Linked DNA regions of Oryzias latipes. The protein of the gene in region 2 interacts with the protein of the main gene of each other region in a biochemical or structural test. Links are inferred from orthologs where the notes say so. Each region holds a gene or a part of one and is shown on either strand. Other genes may lie near its edges. The genes, in order: E3 ubiquitin-protein ligase pellino homolog 1 and irak4.

Region 1 (3,678 bases), on a different chromosome or scaffold from region 2:
CCGACCCTCACGGCCCTCCCGCTCTTCCCGGTGGTTGCCCCAGTCGTGGTATCCATGCACGTGACCGCACTGGAGGTAGACCCATGGCTGCTTCTCGTCTGGCGTGTCTTTGCGGCGCATGGAGGGGAAGGCTAGCGTGTTGAAGCCCACGGGACATTGCGGCCGTGCTGCGTTGATCTCCTGCCGAAGGGCCTCCAGGTGCTTCAGGGTGGGGGTGCGCGACAGGCCCTCGGCCGTGCGCCACAGCAGGGTGGCGCCGCACAAGTCAATGAGCGAGCCGTCCACAAGCTCATGAGACTCCGTCTCCACCTGGAACACAAACATGCAGGAAGTTCAGCGAGGAACGCAGTTTGAACTTCTTCCCCTTTCTGAAAAAAACCCAGAACTAAACCAAGACTAATCTAGGAGGTCGCCAACATTTTAAATTGTCTGAATTCTGCGCTGAAAATGACTTAAAAAGCAGAAAATATCTAAACAAGAACCTGGACGTGTGAACTCTGTCAGAGGTGTTGGCTTTGAGGCTGCAGTACCACTCTTAGGACAGCAGGTGGCAGCAGAACACAGGCATCTCCATCCAGATGTGCACATGTGAATGGCAAGAAGGACGCAGGAATTTTTCTGCCACACAGCGAGATCAGCGGGAAATTCCGGGTTTAGAGATCAGGTGGGGGAAAAACCAGGAAAAACCAGAGGACTAATTTTAAGGTGGGAAAGGGGGGGGGAGACGCTGAGATGAGGGCAGCGTGACCTCCACAGATCCTGGGAATGTTTGCTGGGATCTTCAGTGTTCCTCCTGCTGCTTGCAGGAATTCTAAAACTAACAAGTTCATAAAAGAATTGTCAAGCCTCTTTAGATTTATGTATTTACATGGGGTGGGGGTGGCTAAAACAGGAATCCTGAACTCAAACTCTTTCTGAGGTCAGGGTCCAAAAATGGTTCTCCTGATATGAGGAGAGGAGGACAGAGACCAGAAGTCACCTGGTTTCCAAACCTGGCAGCTTTCAGGCTGAATCTAATGTGAAAACTCATCTAACGTTTACAGCTGGTAATGCTGCTCAAAGGTTGTCGTGGCAACACAAAGCCTTTATCCTTCCTGGATCTCAAGCATAAGGTCAGATCAGGATCAGCTGAAAGTGAGTGAAAGACAAGATTGCCCATTGAAAAACTAAAAAATGTAAATTTGAAAACAGGTTTAAACTTAGAGGAATTCTTGAAAAAAAGCAGAGGCTAACAGGCCTGACGCTGCACAGGCACTTCAGCTTTTATGAACGAAAGAACAACTTCTTAACAATCAGTCGCGTTTGTGACGACAGGAACCAAGCGGATCAGATTGGATCTTTTTGTCAAAGTGGATGGTTTGTGTGGCTAAATATATTCTGGTTGCTGATTGGCTGAGCGCTGGTGACGCCCCCTGAGGATTGCTTGCTCGCTCTTGTTCCACTCAGCTGTGACGGACACACGGTTGCCATGGAGATGGGATCGTGTTCAACCAAGTTTAACAGGTGTGAGTCAGACGAGCGGGTTTGGATCAGAACCGAACGAGAGGAGCAAACGCAGCCCGGTCTTCTCACCATCTTCCCCCGCTGCTGCGCCGAGCGCGTCTCCCTCAGGGTGAAGACATTCCCGCAGACGGAGATCTCCCTCCAGACGCCTGGTTTGGAGTCCTGCGTGAAGCCGTTGCGCGGGTGCATGACCAGCACGCCGTTGGTGGTCAGCCCGTCCATCTGACCGTCAGACGTCTCCCACTTTGCAGCCTTCTCCTGGAACAGAGATGGACAGCGACATCAGGGTCTCCTCGCCTCTCCAAGGGGCGGGGTCAAACCCCCAACAAGGAGGAGAAGCGCCGCTCACCCCTAGAAATATGTTCTTGGAGGAATCGAAGCCTGCGGCGTAGATGCGGGCGGTGTAAGGCGGTGTGCGCTGGCACAGGATGCGGCAGGCGAAGCGGGAGATGGTGCTCTGGACCGACTGGGTGTCGGCGTTGCTCTGGCTGCCGGCCACTGTGTCCGTCACCACAAAGTCGATCGGACTCTCCGTGGATCGGCCGATCTGACGGGAGACAGAAAGATGACTCAGCAGGAATCAGCAGTGAGATCAGCTAAGAGTCGATGTGGGAGACCAGAGGGAAACAGAAGTTTGTGACCTCAGTGAGGCTGTTAAAATTTGGTGGTTGCCAGGGAAACCGTGCACTTTAATGAGGTTAAAAAAGCCCAAAGTTCTGCGTTTTTCTGTGGCAAAGTGTGAAGTTTTCATATCATTTCGGGGAATTCTTATAACCGCTGATGCTTCTGACTTGGACAGAATTCTTTTGCTGTTCGTGTTTTAAGTTCATCTTTCATAGAAAACATGAGATATCGTGATTTTCTGATGCTTTTTAGGTCATGTAACTTTGATATGTTGAGTTTTCCTTCCTGATTCATCGTCAGGTTTTTCATCAAAGACCTGACGATACACCAACGTTCTGCCGATGAAGATGATCTCTTAGTTTTGAGGCTCAAATGTTTTCAGCAGCGACAGACTTCTCAGGCGTGTGCGTCTCACCTGGAACATGTCAGTATTGCTCTCGTGGGTGTACTCCACCACCACCGTCTGGACTCGGGACAGAGTGTAGGAGATGCTGTGCAGGTCTTTGTTGCTTATGGCCTGATGGAACAGGAAAAAAAAGTTGACTGAGGACACAGGAAGCCGATTAATCAGTCATTATTTTCTGCTCTACAGTGAAGGTGGGGCGGGACAGTGTCCGACCAGCAGGGCGCGCCCTTCAGGTCTGCTGAGGGAACATGCTCCTTCATTTTATGTCTTCATTAACAGAAAAACCTCCATTCTGCCTGATTTGATTATATTTTTTTACACCTTTTCATACTACTTTGCTTTTTTTTAAACAGAATTCATGAAAACTGAGGAGACACTCGGACCATGTGCTTGTGGTAGGGGGAGGAGTCAAATGCTGCTGATGAAGACGATAGGTTTAGGAGCAGTGAGGTGCTTTCTGCCTCTTCGTGTGTTAGTGCGTGTTACCTTGGCTGCTTGCGGGGAGCAGGAGATGTGAACCGTACTCGGTTTCACTCCGTTTGCTTTCGGTCTCTTGTAGAGCGCGAAGCGGCTTTTGCGCCGGCCCCGGTCCCCGTTGGGCAGAGAGCCATTGTACCTGCACACACACAAACACATACACTCTTTAGTGGGACCGTCCTATACAATACAGGGAGTAAAAAACATGGCGGGTTAGACTCTGCAGGCCCCCTCCTGATGTTCCCAGAAAACGTCCTCCGAGCGCGAGTGCACGTCGCTGCAGAAAAACACGCTGACATCACTGAGCCTGGCTAAGGACAGGAGTGTGTGTGTTTGTGTGTGTGTGTGTGTGTGTGTGTGGCCTTTTTACTGCGCCTCCTCTGATTAAAGGAGCAAATCATGGCAGTGAGGACTCCTTCCTGCAGCTTCACAGACAGCTGTAGCATCAATCTTTCACCACCTGCTCAGTGGACTCACACACGCCTGAGCCGGTTATTTGGGACAGACGAGGCGAAAACCTAAAGTCCTGATCTGAGCCAGGGTTCCCGCAGGTTTGTGGTTTCTGCTGGTTGACGCTCAGAAAAAAAAAATCAGCTGAGGGATGTTGTTTGTGTGTATTTTAATCTTAATTTTAATTCACTTTGTCGTGTAAGTTACAGATGTTCTTC
Region 2 (3,922 bases):
ATTAATAGTGTTGAGCCCCTTGGATCTACCAACCTTTTGACGTCTCTGTGGACATGATGGTTGGAGTGAAGATACTCCAGTCCTCTAGCTGCCCCTTCGGATATGAAGCACCTCAGCTGCCAGGACAGAGGGGGGCTTCCATCCTGCACGAGCAATCATACCACTGATTTTGATGATGGACAGCTCGGCCTTTACGTATCTAGATGTATGTTAAGTGTTGCATGCTGCTCACCAAACAAGCAAGTCGATCCAGCAAAGATCCGTTTGCCATTAAGGCATACACTATGCACAGATGCTGCTCATCAGAGGAAAATCCAACCATATCAACCAGGTTTTGGTGTTTTAGCCTGAGGAACCGGGTAATAAGACTTTTGTGTTTACTGGTATTAATCCTCTGGCTAAAAGTATATCAAACTTACACTTTCAAAGTTTGAATCTCTTGGTTAAATTGAAGTTGTAAACTTTCCAGCGGCATGTCCTCCATCTAAACGAGACAATATTTTAGAGCTTCGCAGACAGTATCTGCAACGTTTTAAAGAATGTGTTTAAACGATCCCACGTACTGGACTGAGTTTTTTTACTGCGACTAGTCTGCTGTCTAGCAAACCTTTGTAGACTGTCCCGAAGCCTCCCGCACCAATACGACTGCCGCCGTCTGAGATGGACCGGTCATCGAAGTTCCTGGTGATCCTCATAAGCTCTCCGTACAGGAATCTGGAGACACCTAAAGCACGAGTGGTTAAAAAAAAAAAATCAGTGCTGCCATCTGCTGGTCAGATATGCAAACTTGTATTTAGTCATAGGTCTTTTTTTTTTTAAATCAGCTCAATTCCCTTTATACATTCAGAGCTACATATTAGGGACTGCAAGCAATTCTATAATTATTGAAGGAATAAATCGGAATGCATTAAGGGTTTAAACAAAGATCTAGTTTAAGCCTCTACAGCAGTCAATTTCCAAGAGGTAAAATGTTCTGTTGGTTTTTCAAGGATTCTTGTTGGTGCAGAGCAGCCCCACTCCCCTTCCCATCACCCATAACTGAGAGCTGTTTACATAATCTCCCACTAGCTTACAGTCCCTTACACCCCCACTTAACATTAGTGGTGCAACAAAAACAGCGAGCAATAACAGAGCCATCCAGCAGTGCAGTTTAGAGCTAGATGCCAGCTCAGATGAGGAAAACGAAGACAGACATGGGTCTATTTGTCTACAAGTGGATAAACAGAAGAGCAGGGAGTGTGTGGCCTGTCATTGTAAGTTCTACATAACAATTTTTCCAACAGCATTGTTTTTGTCTGCTCCTGATTCACAGTGATTTGAATAAAGACATACCGGTACTCAGAAATGCAATTTTAAGCCCAATATGCGTTATACATGTCCTCCATCAGAAAAATGCCACAAGAATATGTTAAAAACATGGTTTTCCTTGGAGTGGGTCTTTAAGATTTGAACATAGAGTTATAGTTAGATACAGAATCTTTCAGGAAGCCAGTTTAAAATAAATATTTTGTATAGTTGAGCTAAACTGCCATCACCCACTCTTCTACTTACTGTTTCTTAGCCCTGTTATCACTTTAAAATATCTCAATATTTTGCACTGACCTATTTAAATTATTGTTATTATTGTTAATTTTACAAGCTGTGGGTTAAGAGGAAAGAAATTTCATCTGTGCTGTATATCTTGTGTATACAGTATATTTGACAATAAAGCTGACTTGACTAAAATGTGTTCCTAATAATCCATAAGTAATCACACATATCATATAAAACATATCTGACCGAAGATGATGAAATAAGGTTTAGAGAAAACTTTGCACCCACCTGTGTCGTCTCCTCCATCATCCAGCAGTGTTTGTGTCTGCAGGGAGGAGCCAGCAGGTGGATTTGGGGCCTCACCCAGCAGTAAGGTTGGAGGACATTTTTCTGCCTTCACTGAGGATACCTGCTGTGTTTCTTTGGATAGAACCTCTTTGTTGTTCATGTGCAGCACAAATACAAAAAGGAAAAGAACAAGTCATGCCATTTGTGGTCTATTTGTCATAATAAAAACAATAACTCATCCTTTAGCCTGGAGTAGAAAAGAACAAAAACTGTTATTGATCTCACCAGGTAATAGCAGATTGGCAGCAGCCAGGAGGTTTAGACTCCTCAGGATGTCCACCAGTTCCCCCACTGTGCTGTTGGTGGTCCCCCAGTCATTGAGCAGCTCCACGGTGACGCTTTTACCCTGAGCAACAAGACCTTCAAATCTCCTGAAGCAAACAGCGACAAATTAAAAGGATATTAATGTTATTCACAAACGTATAAGGATGGCGCATCACCAATTATTCAAATTGTATTTTTCACAAATGTCTATATTTTCTGAGTTTTAAAAAAAATGCAGCATACTTTATAATTTCACAGATAAAAAGGGAGCAAAAGGGATTGTTATTAGTATATTTAGATAACCATAATATTTGGCACAATGAAAATTTAATTAAGTGCACTCTGTCGCCTTCCTTGTATTCAAACCTCCCCCCCAAACAGTTTTTTTTCTCACCTTACATGATGCTGAGTGTACCTGGGCTCCCCATTCGGCTTCCGTAGGGCCACAATCAGGTCTCTCCAGGTCTCGTAAGGGTCCAGACAGTCGGACAGCTTGCGGCGCAAACTGTAGCTGATGTTGCGAACGTACGTGGCGGAAGTCACCGAGCTGTCCATCCTACGACACGTTCCAAACAAAAGTTCGACTTTTTTCGACAAATTACATGGTAAGCAAACAAGCAACGCTTGATTACGTTCAAAGAAACTCGGGACTAAACGTAAACAGAAATGGTTAGTTTGTTTTCGACTCGGTAAAATGGGGTTTCCGACGTTGAGCAACTTCCTTAAAACGTAATAAAGAGGGGCTGGTCTACTAATCCGCCACCGCCTCTTTTTTTGAATTTTTAAAAAACATTTTGTGTGGTTTTAATAAATACAAGTTCTGACTTTGCTAATGTCCCAGGTACCTTCTGTTCAGAGGTTTTCAAAAACCCCTGAAGCACCCAAAGAAGCCTTTAGTTGTTGTTAGTGTTACACTACTAACATGTTAGCAACATGTTAGTAGTGTAACACTGCCATCTAGTGGACATACCACTCATTTCATGAAAAAAAGTTCTTTTTAGGAATCTTTATTTAAAACAAAAATGACAATCAGTAAGGAACAGAGCAATCAACTGCATCGATTTCTTTTTAAAGATAAAGTTTAAAAAACACAAAAATAAAAGTAAAATTATGTTAATCTATAAATCTGAGAAAGAGGATTTTGATAATAGTTTTTTTGTTTTGGATAATGTAGAGGTTAAATGATATCTCATTTGGGCAAATGATTAAAAGAAATTTGGAGTTTTATTACTTACTTTGGTTTAGTAAATATAATGTTTTGTTAGAAAGATCATAAGATTAATCAAATACAATTGTGACAATGGCTTATTTGTTCATCATCAGTAAACCCAAACTGAATGCTTTTCCATTTCAAAAAGAAATGGGGTTACATTTGAGTTGACTTGACAATTTGCTCCAAACTGATTTATTATACTTACAGGTCAAACATATATGTATTTATGTTCCTTCAAATGTTTTACAAAACATAAATCTCTTTTTAACCTATATGCATGTATTGATTTGTTGGATAAAATCTATGTAATATTTTAAATGACACCTCTTGAACTCACAAGAAATGTTTCAGCAAACGCTTTGCTTTCTCCCAACAAATCTGTCCAAGAAGTTCAGTCCAGAGAGCTACTGCTGGAGATGAAGTTCAGAGCTCATGCTGGAACATTCTTCGGATTACTTTATTTTGAAAAAATTCCCCAAAGTAAATAGATAAAAACAACACAAATATATAGATCATTTTTCTTGAAAGATTTAATGTATTGGTTCCACTAACCTTCGTATGCAT

Evidence for each region.
Region 1: of the proteins of irak4 (region 2) and E3 ubiquitin-protein ligase pellino homolog 1, one has a biochemical effect on the other in vitro, tested with the Homo sapiens proteins (4 studies listed by BioGRID and IntAct). The link is inferred for Oryzias latipes from reciprocal best matches to the Homo sapiens genes IRAK4 and PELI1.

Annotation. Positions count from the first base shown.
Region 1 is NC_019873.2:11,871,464-11,875,141, reverse strand, and holds part of E3 ubiquitin-protein ligase pellino homolog 1, read right to left. Parts: intron 3,150-3,678; coding exon 3,020-3,149; intron 2,645-3,019; coding exon 2,543-2,644; intron 2,051-2,542; coding exon 1,853-2,050; intron 1,762-1,852; coding exon 1,573-1,761; intron 310-1,572; coding exon 1-309. UniProt on the Homo sapiens protein: E3 ubiquitin ligase catalyzing the covalent attachment of ubiquitin moieties onto substrate proteins. Involved in the TLR and IL-1 signaling pathways via interaction with the complex containing IRAK kinases and TRAF6.
Region 2 is NC_019864.2:12,581,585-12,585,506, forward strand, and holds the start of irak4 (interleukin-1 receptor-associated kinase 4), read right to left. Parts: upstream 2,885-3,922; 5' UTR 2,701-2,884; coding exon 2,540-2,700; intron 2,253-2,539; coding exon 2,107-2,252; intron 1,969-2,106; coding exon 1,822-1,968; intron 725-1,821; coding exon 564-724; intron 485-563; coding exon 420-484; intron 348-419; coding exon 233-347; intron 144-232; coding exon 34-143; intron 1-33.